Drosophila melanogaster: one gene and its partners. Changing the gene in region 3 together with the main gene of any one other region gives a genetic interaction. Each region holds a gene or a part of one and is shown on either strand. Other genes may lie near its edges.

Region 1 (6,452 bases), on a different chromosome or scaffold from region 3:
ATAAAATATCGGGATGTCTCTATCGCCAGCCAGTGGCATTGGTCGTTTCTACGCCAAGTCGGCAAAAATCATACGTTTCGTACGCCTGGGATGCACCAATCGGCCTTTTTATCACATTGTCGTCATGGAGGTGCGTACTTTTAGGCCATTAAAATGGTTAAAACTTTTAATTGGTAATTGTATTTTCCGGTTTAGAGGCGCAAGAACCAGCACCAGCCTGTCATCGAGCAGGTGGGCTCCTTTGATCCCCTGCCCAACGATTACAACGAACGACTGGTGGCCCTGAACACGGAGAGAATTCGCTATTGGCTGGGCAAAGGTGCACACTTGTCCACGCCGGCTGCAGAACTCCTGGGAATTGCCGGACTACTGCCCATCCACCCGCGCACCTACATGACCGCCTGGCGGAACCGGAGGACAGCTGCTGAAGCGGAGGCGTCGCCAGAAAAGGCGGAATCAACCGCATAAATATAGTTGTGCCTCAATAAAAGCCTCCTTTTCGTTTTTACGTTTAACAAACGGAGATTTCTTCTGGTTCAGCGAACACTGGTGCTCTTATCAACAACAAAATGAATACAGAATTAAAATTTATTGCAAAACGTAACCAATACGAGGTGAGGTTGGTGACCAGGCCCAAAACCAAATGCATGGATAAGCGAGAAGCGGTCGGAGCTACGGTACATTCGCCTTCTAGTCATGCTTCAGCACTCCAGCGGCTTTCTTCATGCCATCATCGATGATCCTGTCAACGGCTGTGTGCAAATATTGATCTCCTTTTAGTAAAATTGCAATATCTAAGAGGTGAATTTACTCACATTCGTGATGTTTCAGGAAGTAGGGTCGCACCAGCTTGTTGTAGATGATGGTAGAACCATTCTGTTCCGTGGGCAGCATGCACCAGATGAGGAAAGCACACTACATGTGGAGTTGAAGCATTTAAAAGAAGATTCTTATATGTGAAGAATGCAAAGCTCACCTTCAGCAGCCAGTAAAAGGGAATCACCGAAGTTAGCAGACTCGAAAAGAATTCAATCACGGTGAAGATTCCAAACGTGACCCAGTAGATCAGCCACTTGGTGTCGTCCTGCTTTGTGCTGGACTCGATGGCATGGATGGAAATATATGCAGGGTACAGAACCCCAATGATGTTGCACAGTAGTTGGGCGCCCCAGCCAAAGATCAGGTAGATGGCGCACAGACCAACAGCACCTACATATGATGAAATATAATACCTTATTAGTAAATAGCATTAAGTCACTGCTGGAGCTCTACCGTAGCGCAGGAGGGGGTTCTCTACGAACAGTTGGACAATTTTGCTCTCTAATTCCTCGACTGCCATGTTCGCCATCTAGTTGGTCAATTGATATTGCCCTAGTGGCGCATTTTCCCTTATGGCTATAAGCAGGTCCAAGGGCAGGAGCGGTTCCACAGGGCGCAGGGTGATCAGATGGAGTTAACACTTACAAACTTTAGCTACAAGACTAACTGTTCCAAGGGCACAGTGCCAGGTGCTCGTACAGCTTTCAAGGGCGCCCCTTCGTGGATCCCTGGGGTTTTTAAACCGCCCCATGCCGTTGGCTAATTATAAACCCTTAGCTGTTGTCAGTAGATGTCTCGACCTGCCTCTGATCCCGGCCAGTTGCATTTTGCCCACCCAGATGAGCGGACTACGGCCTGTTGTTTTGCCATAAATTTATGATGTCATTCATGCTCGATGGCGGCTAATTATATTTATACCCTGGCTGAGGGTACTTTAATTTGAGCAACATCATTGCAAAAAGGTGGGTTTCATTACAAGCCACAGAAACTATATCCTTAGTCGATCAGATCATTTGATGTGAATTGCGAATTCTCCATAAATGGTTGTTCCCTAATATGCATATATTTGTTTACACAATTTGTTTTGATTATTAAAGTATGCCGAACTGTTGAACAGCTAATGAGGCCAAATGTTTGTATGATGAATCAACGTCCGTCATTTTTGCAAGTGTATATAGACTTCGGTTTTGAAAGATAGCTACTTTTGCCATTATGACCACATTCTCACCTATGCCGAGGTAAACCAAGGGAACTCTGACATTGCGCCGCGTCTCCTGTCGCTGTCTGATTAGCATAATATAGTCCCAGAGCCACATCGGTAACTCCGGTGAGCACCGAACGAACGAACTGAAAGCTCTACCAACGCACACAGGTGAGTGAGTAGATTGGCTCCACGTGTGCCGACAGCGCCACGTCTCAATAATTCAGACCTTTTGACCCCGCCGAACTGGACTTTCTCCAGATCTTCGTCTAGAGAATATGGCAATGGAATGCGCCAAATGTATTGCTCACCGCGTACTGGGCAAAAAAAAGTGTACTTTCGTTGAAGTAAACAAAGAAAAGCACAAAACATGAAACTTTTGTGGATAACAGACGCACACATCGCCAGCTGTCTACGTAGTCGCTTACACGCACACATCGCATGCTCACAAACTGAGGTGTATTGGTTGCAGGCACTCGGTGATAATATAGACACACTATTTAATTGGGCTTTGCCGTTTAAGTCGTCTGTTTAATTCGTTAATTGGTCACCTGGCGGCTATTAAGCCCCCCCGACCATCCTGATTCAGCCACATACACATTGCTATATATAACAGGTTGCTATTTATAAGCATCCCGAAATATTCCACTGCATCTCTAGGCTAATCTCAATGGTTACGCAGTCAACTAGCAGAAGGTTACATGGGCGTTTCGGCGAAGGACATGCGATGACGTCGCCAGGATATTCCACACTCACCCACGAAAATATTGACCCGGTCCACGCCGGTCTTCTCCTCCACGGTATCGAAGACTTTGGTCCACGGCTTGGAAGCATCGCGCAGCGATTTGCTCACGTCATCCTTGTAGCCGTTTAAGAACTGCTTCACCTGAGTGGCCATTTTGCGCAAATTGTTTTTAAATATATATAGTCAATCAAAAATATGTGACGCCGCCGACTTTCCAGATGCCAGTCGATAGTTTGTGCTTGCGCCTATCGGTGCCAAATGGACTATTGACAATCGAAGACATGATGCGTTATTGTTCGCATCTATCGCCGCCTATCGATAAGGAGAGGTCATACTAAAATTGCAATACTGGCGGCTTTTTCTTTTTCACAGTAAATATTTGCAAACAGCAAATAATTATTTTAAGCTTTTATTAGAAAGGTAAATATGTTATGCAGCAAATTACATAAGAAAAAAAACTTATAGCAGTTGACGTGCATTCAATGGTAAACTCATGGGATCATTTTTGATGAACAATTTTATTATTTATAAAATTATAAATTTTAGGATTGTCACATCGTGGGACTTAACAATTGTATGCGAGGATTTACAGTAATCTAGTTGGCTCCATGAGGACTGGACTCTTCAGTTTCTGCGCTGGGAGAAAACATAACGATCTCGCAAATGGAGCAACTTTTCAAAAAACACAAATGTCAAGGTGGTGTGTGGAGCACTACGAAAGTATATGGGCCAAAAGCCCTTGTACATCCCATGGATCCCTTCGGTTCTCCAGATTTTAGTGAAACAGTCCACCAAGCCCTTGTACATGAGTCCACGCCCCTTTTCATCCACTGGCTGGTTGTACATCCGTGTGGTGAGCACATCAAAGGGCGAATTGGCCACTGCCACAAGGGTTCCCGACGATAGGCCGGCACAGAAGGAGAGGAGAACCGGATGGGTGATCCAGCCTTTATCCTTCAGAAGGGACTTGGCTTTGGGAAAGGTGCCGATCTGTACACTGGAGGCCACAAGCGTTCGGTTCAAGCTTGGTAAAGCAGCGCGCCAGAATCCTGAAATGCCATTGGTCCGGTAAATATGCAGCAGGGCATCCATCATCGAAGTATGCTTGTGCTGAAAGCCTACGGCAATGGACTGAACCGCCTGGGCATGCTGTTGGGCCTTTATCTGTAATGGAGGGAGATCAGATGGGAAGCTCTAGCGGATCTACTCACCATGTAGAAGGGGCTGGCGAAATAGGTGCCCGTGCAGCCGCCCAGAGCTCCAAAGAACATGCCCCGATAGAAGGATATGGAGCCATCCGCATTCTGCAAGTATCCCAGCTCCAATGCGTTCGAATATACACTTAGCCTACCATAAGGAAAGGGTATTTACACTGCAATTTGCTTAGGGTAACTATTTTCAATGATGAACGTAACGACTTATCTTAAATGTCCATTACTTCACAGTGTTAGATAAGATAAGCATGCATTTCACATTAATTCATGGTGCTTGTAATTACACTACTTAGCATTGCATAATTTTACGGCCACTTTTATATAAACTTTGTTTAAATCTACCTCTAATATTCGTATAAAGTTCAAAGATTTTGATGTTTATGGATGGCAACAAGTGTCCTTTACAATGCACTTGCCTGACCGAGTTGAGGACAAATTGATAACATAATGCCGGAGCGAGACCCTTCTCCAAAGCAAGGAGTCCGTCGTTGAGGACTATCTGCAGCATGGCCTGGGGGAGATGCCTGTAGGGCTTCACATAGGTTCCTCGGGCAGCCAACTCTCCCTGCAGCTGCATCCGCGTCTTGACCACATCGATGGGATTGGTGAACACCACCGCACCCATCGCTGCCGTTCCGCCCAGCACGAAATCCGACTTGGTCATGTTTTCACCCCAAACTTTGGATTTGGTTGATCTTACGTTAACATTTTGTTTACTCTTTGGTCGACAGACCGATTGTTACATTTATCGAATTAATGGCATACATTTTAATGCTTTAATGATTTAAATGCTCACTTGGCGGAATAATTTAAATATTTGAACTCTTGTATTTGGTGTTTAAAAATTAAAATTCGCTTAAGAAAGAAATTAGTATTTGTAATTAATGAATTTTTTATTCAAAAATATTGGTAAAATTCTTATTGAATTATTAATTAGTGACCAAAACAAATAAATCACTTTGAGAAAAGGTCATAATACATTTATTATTGCTTGTTAAATATCAACATTAATTTATCGATAGTTACACGTATGGATATCGATAATTTCGCGGACGGTTAAGAATGGATTATAAGGACTTTACTTAACCACGCTCGTAGCCAAAGAATAAAATATAAATAAATACATTTTTATTTTCTCTTTTAACTTGTTTAAATCTTTACTTACCCTCTTCAGAGGATCAAATTGAAATTGTTATTTTGATGAAATATCCGGGAAACGGATATGCTACTAGAACGTAACTTCCAAATACTAAGCTAACGAAAGTAAAACAACTTCGTATGGTTTTGCATTTCAAAGAGCCCCGCTCGTGTTAAATAATTTTCGTTTAGTAGTGAAGATCGTACTTTTCCCTCAGCGCAATTAGTTCGTCAAAGAACAAAAGCACCAACGTGGAATATGGAGCACTCCTCAGATAAATGGGCCAAAAGCCCTTGTACAACCCATATACACCCTCCGATCTTAGGATCGTAAGCACACAATCCAACCAGCCCCTGTAGTAAATGCCACGACCTTGGGCATCAACTCCCTGATTGTAAAGACGAGTGGTAACCACATCCAATGGAGTGATTGCCAGCGAGACAAATGACCCAGCGGCTAAGCCAGAGCAAAAGGACAGGATTGTGGGATGAGTTACCACTCCGTTTTCCTTCAACAAACTCTTGGCCTGGCCAAAAACTGCGATTTGAACGGCGGACGCAACAGTGGCACGGCTCACATTCGCCAACGATCCTCGCCAGAGTCCAAAGACGCCGTTCTTCCTGTATATCTTCCTAATCGCATCGCTCATCGAGGCGTGCTGATGCTGATAACCAACGGCGATCTGCTTGGCTGCCTGTGCCTGAAGTTGCGTCTTGATCTAGAATGGAAATGTAGCTATCAGTGATGCCTTATCTTATCACGGCTAGACATTGTCACATATTCGCGGAAGCAGACACCTTCAGTGTTTGATTTACATAATCGCTTACCAGGAAGAAGGGACTGGCACAATAGGAACCCACAACGCCGCCCAAAGCGCCCCAGAACATGCCCTTTGCGAATGAGATCTCGCCCTTGTTGTTGTGGACCCAACCCTTCTCTACGGCATGGGTGTATATGCTCAATCTAGAGCAGATAGAGAGATAGAGCACATATGTATATTTTTGGAAAACTCCTTGTAGGATAACAAACAGCTTTAACCTACCGAAACGAGTTTATTACAAACTGGAAGCATAGCGCTGGAGCCAATCCTTTTTGCAAGCCAAGAATTCCATCGTTTTTGGCCACAGTCACAAAGGCCTGGAAGACACTCTTGTAAGGCTGAGCATGAGATCCTCGGGCGGCCAGCTCTCCCTGTAGTTGAATGCGAGTTTTGATCACCTCGACGGGATTGGTGAAGACACCAGCGCCCATGGCAGCCACGCCGCCCAGCACAAAATCCGACGTAGCCATCAATGAGACGTCCGTTCTGTATCACAATCTAGTGATCACTAACGC
Region 2 (7,945 bases), 2.4 Mb from region 3:
CTCGGAGGGCTCCAGTGGCCACCTGCTGCAGTGGCATGAGAAGGCCTTCGCCAAGGGAGGAGTGGGCTGCATTGTCCGCGTGCTGTCCGACACAAATCGCGCCTAGAGGAGATCAGCACAGCCAAAGGCGGTCATAGAGTCACTACCCCAACTGTTCCCTGCCCCATAAACCGATTCATACGCATCGCGGAGCATTTAATCAACACAGGATTGGAGCACTGGACACCACATCCTTATCTTCGGGATTTGCCACGCCCCAGCTGGAACCCACTTCTGTTTCTTCGCCGCAATACAAATGACGTTTTCCAAATTAGATTTTAACTGGTATCCAAGTATTAAAGTTTTTATTACGAAAGGTGAGTGGCAGTGATTTCAATCAGGGGAACGAACGTACTTCTAGTTCACTCAAGCCACACCTACATGTAACATAATTTGTAAGAAAAATTTTGTTTTTAGTAAGGCTAAGCAATTGCTACGCATCTCAAAACTCAGGAAGATTCAACTCCTATCAGATTTAAACACTTATTAATCTTCAGACTGAGCCTAGCAACTTTACGAACATAATGGCTTATCTAATCGAAATTCCAGGTGTATCATTCAACATGATGACGTTGCCTTCGTAAACTTTTAGCTGCCGTGACAGAAAACACATCTACTATGTTTGAATCAACCTTTTCTGCTTTATTTGACTATTCAATGTGTAATAAGTGCTTTGAGTAACCTAATCAAACCAATCACGGCGTCTACAACTTCTTATTAATTTAAAAAGCGGAGAGGCTCGATGATAGACAAATGCCAGGCGAATAGAAATGCGAGTTGGCTAAATGAAAGGCCCAGAATTTGGGGGTCGCATGCAATTTGATGATATTTCAGTGCTCGGTAGGGGGAACATTTAACAAAGGAGTTCGTTCTCTTTGAACGCGTCTTCAATAAATAGTTTTTATGTTGCTTATATGCGGGGATTATTAAGTCGAAACGGGTTGCTCCAATCGCTGACCAGCCTACCACATGTGGGTCTCGCGGATTTCGCTGATGATGTGATTCGCTCGCGTCAGTGCCTGAAATCAAAAGTAAGTTTAAAACGATGTCAAGCTAAGTATAAGCTAGCCAAGCGCACCTTCAGCATATCTGCCGCCTCTTTTCGGCGCACTGCAATGTGATCGGACTCGTTGAGCAGGGTTTCAGCCTTATCCGACTTATACAGATGTGTAACCAATTCGCTCTGCAAGTTGTCCTTAACGTAGTTAACCAAGAAATGCATGATGGCCTTTGGAACCGAGTCTTGTATGGATTTGCGCACAATGTAGAAATACGATTTGATCAGGTGTTCTAAAAACAAAAAGTAGTCAGATTGAGTTAGGTCTTTAAGTGGCCCGAGTTAAGTGCAACCCACCGATGACATCGCAATCCTTCTGCTCCTTGTCAGTGAGGCGACGTGGATTGTGGTTGGCCGGCACATCGGGCAGCAGATTGACCGGCTTCACTGGACTCACGATGTTATTGTGAACCGGAGTGTTGTTGGTCGAGTTCTCAATGCTGTCCGGACGCGTTGGTGCCGGCGGTAAAATGTTTGACAGCCATGTGCTGGCCATCGAAGGCGTCGAGTTCTCGGCGACGTGGTTCTAGAGAGCGAAACGAAAATGGGTTAAATAGGTTGCATACATAAATGAAGATTCCGCTGGCACCTGCTCATGCACTTGGCTATATTGCTGCTGTGAGGAATTCGGCTGCGGCGGCTGTTGCTGCTGCGGCTGCTGTGAACCAGCACTGTGCGACGAAATCTGAGGCGACATGTGGTTTCGCGGTGTATTGGCCCGCCGCTGCCCCAGATTTATCTGTGAGTAGGGATCGCTGTCCGTTTTCAGCAGACTGGGCACCAAAGCGGCATCCTTGTGGAAGTCGGGGTGCTTGGTGTTGATGTAGGCCAGCTCGATGGCCACAATGTTCTCCACCATCACGTTGGTGTGCGGCAGACGTCGACGCAGCAGCTGGGTGACCACGTCCACAATCTTCTCGTGCAGTTTGGGAAAGCTGTAGGGGAGATCGATGAAAACCTTTGGCGTTCAGCTATCATGAGTTCACATACCGCAGCATCTCCTGCTGCACTTCGTTGCCACAATGCTGAACAATGCGCTGCATCTCCTCGTGAATGAGTTCCACGCAGCGCAAGGAGGGTTCCTCCAGGCGGCGAATCTGGCGCTTCACTAGCAGTTCGAACGAGACCTCCGGAACGAACAAAGCCGGGCGTGGACCAGTGGCATTCCGGATGGCTGTCAGTATGTCCATCTTGCTCAGACCCGCCAGCGGGTGAATGGAGTCCAGGGTGCGGCCGAAGGTCTCGTGGAAAATGTAGCCCATCCGGGCACCGCCGCACAGTTCCGTGGTCTCGATATTCCTGGCCGTGCCCTCGATTGTGCAGCAGTAGGCGCTGGAGAACTTCGTGATGATCTGCAGCAGGGTCTGGCTCTTGTCGGAGACATCCTCGCCATAGGAGTTCAGCAGCGATTGGAATTGCGTGGCCATGATGTTGACGCGAGTCTGCAAGAATATGGGAAGTCATTCTCTTGAATTCAACATGCTATTCTAACCTTATCTGCCATTAATCTTCTCTTGCTTTACCATAGAAAAATATAAAGATCGATTATAATCGAGTGCCAAGTTTGTTTCATTTTTTTACATTTTCTTGAAGTTTTAGCCTGAGATTCTCGCATAGTTTGTGAAATCGATATGCAGTCTTTATAGACTAGACTCACCTTAAGATCTGGCAGGCAGTCCCGGATGTGGTGCATCAGGAGCCGGTTGAGGGTCTTGGCCAAGTAGGGCGTGCCGTTCCGGGTGGCCAGAGTGGGATACTTGCGCTGCAGGAAGGCGGCCTCGTCCTTCATCTGATCGTCGATGTGCTTTTGGTCCATGATGTCCTTCTGCGAGCGATTCATAACGCCGATGATGCCCAGCTTGACGGGAATGACCCGGCCGCACAGGATGTCGATGGCATCGGTGCCGGCATCCATGAGATCCAGTTTCGTGACCACGGCCAGAGTGCGCCGGCCATCGGGGTCCACGTCCTTGGCCAGCTTGAGTGCCTCACTGGTGGCCATGTCCGTGTTGGCGGCCGTCACAGCCAAAATGATGGAGTTCGGGTTCTCAATGTACTTGAGGACCAATTCTTTGATCTGCGCCTCGATATCCTCCGGCTGATCGCCCACCGGGACCTTGGTGATGCCGGGCAGATCCACCAGCGTTAGGTTGACCACGTGCGTTGAGAATATCTTCAGGTTGATGGGCTCCGGGCAGATGCCCTTGTTGCTGCCCGCCGCCCGCTCCGTTTCGTTTTCGATCTCCTTGCGGATCTCGTCAAAGTCCGTGAAGCACTTCTTGGTGTGCAGGAAGCGGCCCCACTCCTCGGCATTGGACGTACCTAAGTGTTATGTGGTTTAGCAATTGGGTTTTCCCGAACTTCTGACGTCTCAACTCACCATTTTCCGCCGAGCGATTCTCGCGATCATCGAGTGGGCTGTAGATCAGCTGGAGCACCAGTGGGCGACGGGTCACAATACCAGTTCCACGGGGCAGAAAGGATCGTCCCACAACGCTCTCGATCACCGAACTCTTGCCGGAGCTCTGGAAAAAAGGGGAAATGTATGTATTACTGGGAGTTAAAACGACGGCTGATAAAAGACGATGACCTGATAAGGTGGCTCCCAAGCGTTTGCAGCGAGGAAACACTTGGAAAACCGCAGATTAACTATTCTTATCTGGCAATGGGAGCCATTCTGTGATTGCAAATTTCTCAAACTTAAGCCTTTGCAACAGAAAACCAAATGAATGGTAAGAAATGGCACAGATTCAACATATTGGAGCTCCGCTGTACTCGGTATCAATGAGTTGCGCGAGCATTTAGTCATACTGACTTAATTCCAGAGCGTGAATCAAAGTGCAATTAAGCCAGCGATCGAAACATGCACACATATATGTACATACAGACACAACTATCGAAGTCACACATGTGTACGTTTGTTTTTTGCAGTGTGTTCGTGGGGGAATGTGTCACATCAGCCAGCAGCTGTTTTTTTTTTCGTTTTTGTATAATACTGTGGCATATTGATTTTCCATGGCGGCGGCGAGCAGTGCCAAAAATAATTATATAAACAATGGGGACGCCGCGAAGAGCGAAAGCTGGCTGAAATGTTGCTACAAACTGAAAACACAACTAAAATGCCGGCAAACGCACTCAGTTATATAATTTTGCGGTCACTGGAAAAGCGCAAGAGTTGGGGTTTCAGATAGCTGCGCCATATTCCGGTTCTCAGTTGCCACTCCTTTTACGGAGCTCGGGGATTTATGGTTTTCGGTGTGCGGATTTTTGGGCACCTCGCAGTTTGCATTTACCTGACTGCCTAGAACAACAATTTGGGGCAATTGGATGGAGTCGGAGCCCACGGTGTTGAAGACGTCCTGCAGCTTGTTTATGACCGGAATTAGGGCCTCCATTCTGAGTGTGTGTGTGTGCTGGGTTCCTTTGGTCGCGTTCCACTCGGCTGGCGATTAATTCGCGCACATAAAGGCCGTTCTTTTCGGCTTTTTCTGATTGACGCGAGCACCGAAATTATTTTTGCAAACCGCCAGTGTTGCACAGCAAATTTAGACTGTTTTTCTAGCGGTGTTGCCACACGGGCGGAACTTGCTGCTATCGGCAGTCCCTAGACGAGGTTGCCACCGTGCGCGAGAGTGCTGCCAATCTATTCCAAAAGGGCAGCTTTCTGTGCGCGCCAAAATTGAATTTTTGGGTGTTTCCAATTTTGCCCGTTAGTTGCGTGTATTGAATACTTTACACAAATAAAGAAAGGTATGATTTCATAACATTACTTAAAATCCCCCAATAGCTACAAAATATGAATGTCCTTTTCTTTTTGTTTTGTTTCATATTTTGCCTTTTTACTTATTTTATATGCACATGAGGAGTTTGTATTGATATGGACCAAACAAAAGGGGTCCTTACAAACCAATCTGAAAACTCACACACCACAATCTAAATCTGGCAGAATCTCAATATATTCATCGTATCTAACTAAATTGAAAAACTACACAGAGTAGGCGCATTTCTGAATACCCTTACAGACATAACAGTGAAAATGAATATATAGCATAAATATATTGTCTTTGATTTTGTCTAATTTCTGCAGAAATAAAGGACTATTTAAACGAAGAAATATTAAAGTTGGAGCAGCCGCCAAGTGGTCAGACCACGTGGCCCAAAATAGGGAAAAGGAATAATCTGGGGACCGGCCTCAAGTGCTCGAGATTTGCATGGGCGGTTGGGATGGGGACTTCCCCGGTTTTATATAAGAATTGCAGGGCAGTGAGCTGTGCCCCAAAACCAAAAAGGGGGCTACCCGACTATTTCTCGACCACACTCGATTGCCTGCCTGGCATGCATTGTGGGCGAAATGCCGGGCTCATCTGTCGTTTTTATCGGTTTATTTCAATGTTCGAGGATGCTTGTCGCCCGGTACACTAAGCATTCAAATTTCGATAGTGGCCTGGCCCAAATGGACCAGAATATTGGACGTACATATGTATGTACCACATCCATGTGCATAGAAGCCCCCACTCACGTATGCATCATGTGTCCTATTTGATAACAGTTCCCATTGTTGTTTGGCCAGCTCCTCCTGGCTGCTCCCAATTGAAAATGACAATGAAAATTGTTACAAGTTGGCTGATATCATTTTGCAATGCTCGCTTATCTCTTTAATGGCTTCCAAGCGATTTGAATATGCTTGGGATGATTTAAGATGACTTATTATTTACAATCCCATTGAAGTATCGAATTGTTTGAGTTTATTGTTCCGATCGCAGGATGGTAATATCGATTATAAGTAGTTTCAAAATTTAATCATTCCACTTCAAAATTAGTTACGCCATCCATGAAACTTTGATCATTCAAGTTTGGGATACTGACTAATCTCATTTCTTGCCCCATTATTATACATTCTGGCATTTTTCGAACTGCAAGTGGGCTTCTTTAGCATTTTCATAGATAAACTTTCGGCTTCCAATTAACAAATTTGGCTGGCAACTTTGCCAGCACACCTCTGCTGTATCTGTGTGTTTGAGTGTGTATAAATATTTCAAAATTTCCCCCATCAAATTGGCATTGTTGGACCGGGGAACTTTCGTATCTCTGGCTTGACAACTTGCCGAAATGTGCGGCGTGGAAAACTTCTTGAGTTTGAGTTGACAGTTATTGCGAAAGACGGGCGGGGGTGATGGTGATGGGGCACGCCCCCTTCTCGGGGCCGGAATATTAATTTGATAATTTCACGGCTGAATGCAAATTCGGTGTCAGGGTCCTTGGCTCTCTAATTGACTGACGAATACTTAAAATATGAATTTCAAATGAAGTTCAGCCATTGTCTGCTTTCTGGCTTTCTTTTGCCGCTTTTCGACTTGGCGCGATTAATTATGGAGTGATGATGATGATGATGGTGATGATGATGGTGTAGTTGAAGCTGGAGCAGCCTCTGCCCTCCGGTGGAGCATTAATCATGTGAAAGTAATTTTGCACATTTGCATGCGTTGCACAAAGCGATAATTTTCATCCATCATTTTCAAGTGTTTCCGCAGGATTATAGTGCTGCAAGGAGTCGCCAGCCTTTCGCTGTCATATCCTGCGTGTGTGCAGGATGGGTAGTCGCCTCATTATCCATCGCCATGTCGTCGTCAATTATTCTTGTTCTGCAGCCAGCCTGCAAGAACTTTGCATTTAGTTGATGAGCTTCTCTGCCCTGGTGGAAACCACGAAGTCCTCATGCTCCTCCTGCTCATCCTGCTCCTTTGGTGCTTTGCTCTTTTGTGCCTCGATGCCTTTGGTTTTCGGGACTCGGCTTTCATCTTTCGGCTGACTGCCAGTTGATCAATGGCTCTGCCCGTTTTCCATGGTGTTTCATGCAATTACGTATTTATATTGCGTATACGCCATGTGAATACGACGGATGGATGGAGAGCCCTTGAAGTAGGCGGCGTTACGGGGCGGAAACTTCTCCGTACGTTCTCGCCACAACTGCTGCAATAATGAACTTTGATTTTGCCCCTTTGCAATTCCCGGAATCATGAATGTTCCACAGCTTGTGGTCTGGCTGGAAAATGCGGAGCGCGAGCTGGGAAATATGCGATATAATTGCTGATTGATGCGGTTTGAAGGAGGTTGCTCTTTATGCTCTCGCACATTTTAATATAAAACTTGGTTGAAAGTATACAATACATTTTTATTCAATAACTGAATATATATGCATAATAATAAATTAGATATATCTCTTTTTTCATCATTACCATTACTAAACCCATTAAAGGACCATGAAGTGTGGCCATAACCGACTCTATCAAGTGGGTTGAATTATGAAGGCCATGTGTGCAGCCGCTTGGTTGGGTTTTTCGGTGCGCCCCGGATCTTGGCAGGATGTGGTTACCATTTAGCAGATGTCGCCGCTCTTGGCACCCAGCTCCTTGGCCATTAATCTGCCTGGGAACGCGGCTGCCAGATGCCTGCTGCCTTCTACTGCGGAAAGTGCGAAAGTATCGCACACATGTTTCCCTTATTTATATTTTGGCAATGCTCTGGCTGCATGTTTAATTGGATTTGCAGCTAAGCGGAATTAGAAGTGTGGGCGGAAAAGTGGGGAGCATTTGCATACTCCAGCTGTGGCGGAAAACCTCGACGGAAAGCCTCGAGACACTGGAAAAAAGGGGATGCAATTGAAGTAGATTGATATACCAAGGAACATAATATCATTCTTACGATCCATTTTTCATGGGCTTATTCTTTCAAGTAGTGCTTTAGCAAATATTAAAAACATATTTCTTGAATTTAAAATTCTTACCAATTATATTCAAATTGGCTGGGAAATCTTTCTTCGAGTGCTGCTGCGAGGCGACAACAAGCAAG
Region 3 (8,071 bases):
AGCATTTGATGTGCCGCCGAGTTTGGGGAAAGCTCGCTAGCTGGGGGCCATCGATTTCACCTATTGCAGCTGACCCGCTGCTTGGTGAGCGGAGAGTTTTTCCGGGCGGAGACTTTTCTTGGCTTTCCGCGCAGCGCATGCGTTGGCTTCCGCAGGACTCTTGTTGTTTTCGTTCGACACCCAACGAGTGGGCCGGAAATTACCAGACGCTGCAACTTTTGGGTGCGGTGGGTGCAGATGCTGTTGCTATCGCCCGCACACAGCCCAACCGCCAGCTTGCCCTTTGACCCCGCCCTGCAGTTGCGTGCGGCGCGAGAATTAGATGGGAAATCAATCAAATGGGAATCGGAAAGCAACGCATTTTTCTGGCCATTGGTTGTCTGGGCAATCATTGCTATGTTTTGCTAAATTTTATACTTTTGGCCAACTTTCGACCAAGTTATGAGACAAATATTTGACGCATTCCACATGAGATGTGCTGTCAAAATGGCAAACTTCTTTGACGGTTTAGCACAGTTCTGTCCGAATGAAATCGATATGTTGGCAGGAGAATGAAATACGGAAGCATGTTTTCCGAAACAATTTCCCAGGGAAAATTATACCAAAGCTTTCGCACTACGTTCTTTGATACTGATAAATTTGACCTACTTTATAAGTAGGCGAAACCTGTGACAATATATGGAATTCCTTTGAAAAATCCTATACTATATAAAAACCTATACTGCGGTAAAAAGGTAAAATGCAACCAAAAATGATACATCGGTTTATTTTTCATCAAAAGAGAAAATCACTTATTCGAAATAATCCACATATATTGTCGAGAAGAGTAGCCTTGTCCATATTGGTTTTTAGGTTAAATTTGACCCACGCACCATAACTTTCTTAATATAGGCAACTCTCGTCTGGTTGGAAACATGTGTTCTTTTTGTGGCCCCAAAAAAAAGCGATTCCCCCACTTAATCGATCACTGGCCGCGTGGGAGATGCAATTAACCAAAAATAATTAAAAAAAAAAAAACACACACATTGTTTACTCGGCTCCACTCTTCGGATTTCCGCCTTTGTTTACCGATCAACACAACGCACAAGTAAAATTAAAATAAATTCTATATCTGCGGTCAGGATGGTATTGTTATATGTAGTTATAATACACAAATGTGTAAAGTTAAAATGTGACGATATCGCGGGAGCTGTCAGTGAACTACAGTTGATTGCAACTATGACCGTTGGCGATAATGGGGGTGCGATAAGGTGGATGCTAAACGAGAGGGGAAGATGCAATTGAGAAATCCGTTTCGGATGCGAGAGTCCAAAGCGAAATCAATGGCAAATTGAAAGACAAAAGCGCAGCGAAAGAACAAAAGAACAAGGCAAATATGTGCGCTACAGCTACAGCTGGTAGTGGAATAACAAAAATAGCCGCATAATCGCACTAAAAGGATGGATGCAACCCAGACTGGCAGACAGAGGCGTCAATGGAAATCACTAATTGGAAAATATTTTTCCGCAGTTGCTGGTCGCCTGCTGCATGCCGTGAAAAACTCGCATTCGCCGCGAGGGAGACGAGAATTGAATTATTCGCTGGCCAAATTAGCGCACTGTCGAAAGGTAGTAGAAATGGGAATGGAAACGTGAGATTGCCAAATAGTAGCAGAGATTACTACGCAACAATAAATTACTTTGCCGCAAATTGCTTTAATGGACACGAAGCTGAAACACAGAAAACACAAAAAAAAGAATCGCAATGAAATAAAGCGAAATATGATGAACGGACATGTGTACGTCAATGGTGGGTACACTCTATATATATATACATATACATATATTATATATAGACCAATATAGAGCTTTTGGAATGGAGAAGCTACTGAGCTACTGAGCAGCTGATTCACGCCGGTTAAGTATCTCGGTAATGGTGAAACCAGCTTCGAGAATGTTGCCCCCTTTTTCGTATCTACTATACCCGGCGTGATGAGTTGCCCAGTTGGGATTAGTTATGCAATTTACCTTCTTTTCACCTCTGTCTGCTCATCTAAGGTTTGCCTATCTGTTTTACGATTCACCTTCCTATCTATTTAATTGTTTCTGTTTGCTTTGTTGGAAACAATAAACGTTAGGAGCATCAAACGGTTAATAAATAATATCCATTTCATATTCATAATATATTTGATTATTCACTGTTTCTACCTGCAAATCATATTGCTTTTATAAAAGTAGTTTCTTGCAGTAAATTAGCGGGTTGCCTTTAGCGAACGATCCCTGTATTAAGCAGTCATATTTCTGTTCGTGGCATTCAAATGAGTGTGAATCACGCGGTGACGATCGATTGCGAAAAATCTATGAAAACTATGAGAAAGCCGGCAAACAATGCGGCTGCTGTTCAAATCGAGAATGATTAATGTCAAGGGAAATGGAAAAGGAAGAAGAAAAGTCGGCCTCCGAAGAGAGTATCTTCTAGGCTATTAAATTTCACCGCATTGCGATATAAAATTCACTTAATAAGAGAGCTCCGCAAAAAACGATGACTCATGAGCAGAGTTGGAGGAAAAAAACCATACAAAAAAAAAAAAAAAATAATAATAATAAGAGAGTGGCGAATGACTAACGCACAAAACAAAATTAAATAGAAGGGGCAGCAGGCGATGGGAAAGGGCGTGGGATGCAAGGTGCGCCGCAAGGACACTGGGAACAAACATCAAAATGGTATTCAAATTACGACGGTGTACTATAATACTCGAATGACGACGGGAACACAACAAATTAATTAGAAACGCAATGATAACTGGTGTTGACTAGTTGCTATTTGCAGTGGCTAGACTCACCCAATCCGTATTTGCAGAAGATCTCCTCGACGGACGCAATCTTTGGCTGCGGCTGGGTCGATTCAACTGGCGCCACTGGCACAACCTTCGGCTTGGCCGGCTCCACCTTGGGTTTGGGTGGCTCTGGTTTCGGCTCGACTACGGGTGCGGCGATGGTGGGTGCCTTCGGCGCCTCCTGGACAGTGGGTTTGAACACCACCTCCTCGTCATCCAGGTCGGTTATCAAAGCGGTTGTCACGGGTACAGCCACTGGAACCGGCTGGGGTTTGGCAACTGGTACTGATACTGGTACTGCCACTGGAGCAGGAGCAACAGCTGGAGCAGCATCGAGAATGGGAGCTGGTGCGGGTGCTGGTGTGGGTGCTGAGCGTGGCTCCTCCTTAAAATCGCTGGCCAGATCTTCCGACGAGATGAACTTCTCGTTGTCCTGATCCTTGAGGGCATCTACAATGGGTTTCTTGGCCGGCGATGGTGTGTACGAGACGGACGGCGATTCAGTGTCGGAATCCTGGTTGGCCTTGGTCAATGGGGCGACAGGAGCTGCTGGGGCAGCAGTGGTTGGCTTGCCCAGGAAGTCATCCTCCTCGTCGTCATAGAAATTGGCCGTGGACGGTGCCGTTGGCTGGAAGGCCTGGAGTGGTGCCGATGGCTGGTCAGTGAAGCTGCCCAGGAGGTCCTCCTCGACAGGAAGCGGAGCTGGGACAGCAGGAGCTGGCGCCACTGGAGCTGGAACGGCCGGAGCATGATCGGGAACAGCTGGAGCTTGTGCTGGAATAACCGGAGCTTGAGCTACCGTCTCTGAGAATGGAGCCAGGGGAGCGGAGAAGCCCCGCTCGGCATTCATAAAGTCGGTGGTCAGTCCACTGATGCCCTGCTTCACCTCCTTGCCAGCGTCGCGCAGAAAGTCCTCGAAATCATCAGTCTTCTGTGCAAACTTGGTGTCCAAATCGAGTTTGGCATCCTTAGCGTCGGCGGCCAGGCGTTGGACAAACTCCTGCGCATCGCCAAAGTCCAACTTCTTTTGCTCGTTGGCGAAGTAGTGCTCCGTGTGGGCATTATCGTCCTGGGCACCACCACTCACATTGCCAGTATCGCCACCAAGTGCAGAGTCTTCGTAGGCACGTTGCGCCTGCTTGAAGATGTCCTCGTTGGTGGCAGCGGCCTCCTTTTTCAGTTCGTCGAAGTTCCGATCCATATTCTACAGTGTTTTGATTTCAAAATATAACACTTGTGATCAATAAGAAATTTTCACAGATGTGTTTGAATATCCTGGCCTTCTGATTGGAACTTCGCACACACACACACGTACGCACGCACACGACACACCCACACACACACGCACAGGCACCGAGCTACAGCTGATTTTGCCGGTTGAAATTAATATGATTTTTTTTAGCCGACTTAAGTGCCTTCTGGTGACTAAAAGGCCGCAATTCGCAGTGTTTTGTGCTCGGGAACGTTGAATTTAATTTGAACCACAGCGACTCTTTTACAGGCGCCGTCGATGCAGACGTTTGAAAAGTTTCAATGGACCTGCGCTAGAGGTGGCACAGCGGTCGATACTATCGATGACGCTCACAGCATAATTGCCTAAAAATGGACAAATACCTTGAACAGCCATGTTTCGAACCAAAGTTTTGATGTTGCCGGCATCTTTAGCCATGACATTAACCCAATGGCTCTGGCAAATTGGCTAAAATTCACGACAGCTAAAATTTGTTGTATGTATTTCCAGAAACTTCGCGCAATTCAGTTATGCCTAATGTTTGATTTATTTGTAAACATAACAACCATGCTCAGGCCGTCCACTTGAGGCAGCGCGTGTCCTGGTGCGTTTGCAGGCATCTAACGCAACAGTATCGCGTTCCGCAGGCGGTGCACGAGTACAACGAGAAGTTGCCGCAAACGGCGCAGAAATGCCGCAGTGGCTTTTGTGGAGCCGGCGCTGCGGCGCTCTCGTAGTTGGGCTGCTTGTCCTTGTCCTCCTCGAGCAGTTGCTGGAAGTTCTTGCGATACTTGACGAGAAAGTATTCGGCGCCCTTGCGCTTGCCTTTCTTCTCCTTGCCGGTCTTCAGGCTGTCCTGGAATTTGGGCAACTTCTTGGACATGACAAGGTCGGCGTGTGGGTCATCGTGGTAGTTGTCCTGCTCCAGAGCCTCCAAGGCTTTGCGGGCACGCCGCTGGCGGGCTGTGGAGTCCAGGACACGCTTCTTTTCAGCGTCCTTGATGCGGTTGGATTCGCGACCCGTCATGGTTGTTTTTAGGTTTTTACTTTTGGCTATTGGATTTTATGGGTTGTGTAGGTTCTAAGCGTCCTTGTCGTGCAGCGGAAAGCTTATCCGATCCATCAAGTCGTCCACTCGCGCCTGCAAAACTTCCACAATGTCCGTGGAGATAAACAAATGGTTCTCGTCCAGATCCTGGATAATGAATTTGCGTCCCAGAGCCAGTTTTTCGTCCAAGTGCAGCAGGAATTGTTTCATAGCAGGATCACTGCGGGGATTGGGTTGAATATAGCGAAACCAACGCATACCAAACGTATACCACTTACCACTCCACCAGCACTCCTTTCATAACATTTACCATGTTGCCAGCATTTGTTTGCCGAAATTAATAAACAATCTCACCAATTCTCAGAGCTGAATGACATATTCACAGTGAAACGTAGGCTAGAGGTGGCAGTCTTTACTATCGATATTTTTTTGACTTTACTTGATAATTTAATCAATAATTTCAGCATGGCAATATAATATTTACAATCAACGAAATATAACACATTGCTTTAAACCAGCACCCGATATTAACTATATTATGTTAGTTTCACCGTCGGAAGTTTCGTACTTTAAGAAATATAGCTATTTTGCCAGCCCTATCAGTGCTACTCACTACGAAAAGTAGACAGAAGTAGCGGGGTATTTGCCAGTCACACGGACAAACACCAAGGCAAAAGTGTGAGGAAATATTGAATTCCAAATTAAATTCCTAATTAAATCAGACCATAAGCACGCAATGGAAAGGCTGACCGGAAGGAATGTGGCACTACTGGTGCTGTGCCTGTGCGCCGGATACGCCCTGGTGTTCGCCGAGGGCGAGAAGGAGATACCGGTTACCAAATTCGGACAGAACATAGCGCCGACGATGACTTTCCTTTACTGGTGCGTTATATGCGGGGCAATTAACATAATTGATAACAATGACCTCTGTGTTTCTCACCATTGATTCGCCAAATAGCTACTCCTGCGGCTATCGCAAGGCGTTCGAGGACTACGTGGGCCTGCTGGGCGAGAAGTATCCGCAAATTCAGGTGAATGGCGGCAACTACGATCCGCCGGGTCTAAACTATTACCTCTCCAAGATGATATTCGCCCTGAAGATCATAATCATTGTGTCCGTGGTCAGTGCGGTCAGTCCGTTCACCTTCCTTGGCCTGAACACGCCCAGTTGGTGGAGCCACATGCAGGCTAACAAGATATACGCCTGCATGATGATCTTCTTCCTGGGCAACATGCTCGAGGCCCAGCTCATCTCGTCCGGCGCTTTCGAGATAACACTAAACGATGTGCCTGTGTGGTCGAAACTGCAGACGGGACGCTTTCCCTCGCCGGAGGTACTCTTTCAAATCATCGACAACCATCTGCAGTTCACCGAAAAGGTGCAGGAGAATCCGGACTTTGTTAAATAATAGCATTGGACTGACTGGACGGACGGAGGAGCGCGGAAAACAGCAGTTGGACAACACCAAAACAGCCGCAGACATCGATTTCCGGCTCTGAACCTAACTTAAACATAAGCTCTTGTCCCGACATTATCCACTTAGCTGTATTTCTGTTTTCACCCCAACTATAGCCTACTCTACACATCCTAAACGCATCCAATCCGAACCGAACAAAATCGCATTTGATCGGATTTAGATGGGATATAAAGTTCGCTTTAATTTCAATCAAACGAAATTTCTTGTGCATTCGTTTTATGTGTTGTACATTTTATTTATCAAAAAACTGGGCTTTCTTTTTGGTTGTGTTACGTTTACAATAATCCCAACAGGGGCACAAGATTTACTTTCGTTGCAGTGGAGGCAGTGGTTACTCTTCTCGACCCCTCTTCCATAATTCCATAATTATATTTGGTATGTGGCATATGTGTCATATGGTTTTAGTTTTTGGTGTCCACGTAATTAGATTACATCTCCACGGAAAATGGCACTGTTCTGTGGTTAAAGTTTTGTTTGTTTGGTACTCGAGTTGGGGTTTGGATCGTTATCTCGTTTCCTGGATAGGATAGCAAATTACTTAAGACGTATATTTAACTGCTACTTAGTTCGAACTGCAATCTAGGGGGCGGTGGTGTCCTCGCGTGGGCGTCGGTTGTACTGGCGGGTATTGCCACCATGGCGAGCATACTCATCGTAGGCCTGCAGGTTGCTCGGGTGAACCCTTTGCTGGTACCTTCCGTTCAGATAGTTTGATGGGCCGCGACTGCGCGTGATCCAAGAGGAGCGCGTGGACCCGGCGTTAGATTCGGGATTGGAACCAGGACTGGAGCCCGTGGACCAGCTAGAGTACGATCCCGGATTGGAGACCGATCCTGCTACGGGTCCGGAATGCCAGCTGGATCCAGCATTGGTCCTCGATTGCCAGGCGGCGTTGGAGCCAGGATAAGCTCCGGCATTGGAGCCAGGATAAGCTCCGGCATTGGAGCCAGAATAAGCTCCGGCATTGGAGCCAGGATAAGCTCCGGCATTGGATCCAGATGACCAGGATCCGGAGCTGGAACCAGGACTGGACTGAGAGCCAGGACTGGAAGACCGGCCGGATTGCCAGTTTGCCCTGTAATTGCCATCTGTTTTCAAACTGCCCGAAGGATTACTCGAGGCAGAACCATCTGTGAAACCGGAAGACGCATCTGCCCTGGACTTTGCAGTGCGAGCCACAAAGCTGTTGCCTCGACGACGGCAAACCGTGCACCTGAAAGATGATACCGCCATTGTAGATACATATGTATACAGCTAATGGGTTTGCTCAAGTAACCCACCTGCTTATCTTGCTGGTAAAATCCGCCTTTAGCGTCTGCTGGCGCGGCTGGACGAACTGATCCTGCTCCTCGATGACGGTTAACCAGAAGGAGGCCAGCGCATCGTAGTAGTTGCAGCGTCCATGGCCATGGCACTCGATCACCGGCTGGGCGCGGAACTCCTCCAAGCAAGAGCCCGGGGAGACGAGGTTCTGCCCAACGCCACCGACGTTGTCCAAG

What was found.
Region 1: of Rtnl1 (region 3) and ReepB, changing one enhances a phenotype caused by changing the other (phenotypic enhancement), as found in Drosophila melanogaster (one study listed by BioGRID).
Region 2: of Rtnl1 (region 3) and Drp1, changing one suppresses a phenotype caused by changing the other (phenotypic suppression), as found in Drosophila melanogaster (one study listed by BioGRID).

The regions. Positions count from the first base shown.
Region 1 is NT_033778.4:14,167,047-14,173,498, reverse strand, and holds ReepB (receptor expression enhancing protein B), read right to left. Parts: upstream 3,038-6,452; 5' UTR 2,919-3,037; coding exon 2,777-2,918; exon of another isoform or gene 2,582-2,776; intron 2,340-2,581; exon of another isoform or gene 2,136-2,339; coding exon of another isoform or gene 2,048-2,135; intron 1,711-2,047; exon of another isoform or gene 1,340-1,710; coding exon of another isoform or gene 1,273-1,339; intron 1,210-1,272; coding exon 977-1,209; intron 916-976; coding exon 816-915; intron 753-815; coding exon 691-752; 3' UTR 501-690; downstream 1-500. Other genes in the region: mRpS16 (mitochondrial ribosomal protein S16), read left to right, coding at 14-130, 196-468; CG18324 (uncharacterized protein), read right to left, coding at 3,390-3,929, 3,977-4,112, 4,396-4,643; CG18327 (uncharacterized protein), read right to left, coding at 5,305-5,835, 5,945-6,080, 6,160-6,407.
Region 2 is NT_033779.5:2,580,781-2,588,725, forward strand, and holds Drp1 (dynamin related protein 1), read right to left. Parts: upstream 4,651-7,945; 5' UTR 4,492-4,650; coding exon 4,390-4,491; intron 3,622-4,389; coding exon 3,477-3,621; intron 3,419-3,476; coding exon 2,754-3,418; intron 2,539-2,753; coding exon 2,087-2,538; intron 2,032-2,086; coding exon 1,686-2,031; intron 1,623-1,685; coding exon 1,394-1,622; intron 1,330-1,393; coding exon 1,118-1,329; intron 1,059-1,117; coding exon 1,002-1,058; 3' UTR 501-1,001; downstream 1-500. Other genes in the region: Arpc5 (Actin-related protein 2/3 complex, subunit 5), read left to right, coding at 1-106.
Region 3 is NT_033779.5:5,005,360-5,013,430, forward strand, and holds the start of Rtnl1 (Reticulon-like1), read right to left. Parts: upstream 4,362-8,071; 5' UTR 4,017-4,361; coding exon 2,822-4,016; intron 1,207-2,821; exon of another isoform or gene 1,025-1,206; intron 1-1,024. Other genes in the region: CG31917 (uncharacterized protein), read right to left, coding at 4,618-5,073; Tfb5 (transcription factor B5), read right to left, coding at 5,128-5,314, 5,373-5,407; SelT (selenoprotein T), read left to right, coding at 5,831-5,976, 6,053-6,503; vkg (viking), read right to left, coding at 7,152-7,785, 7,853-8,071.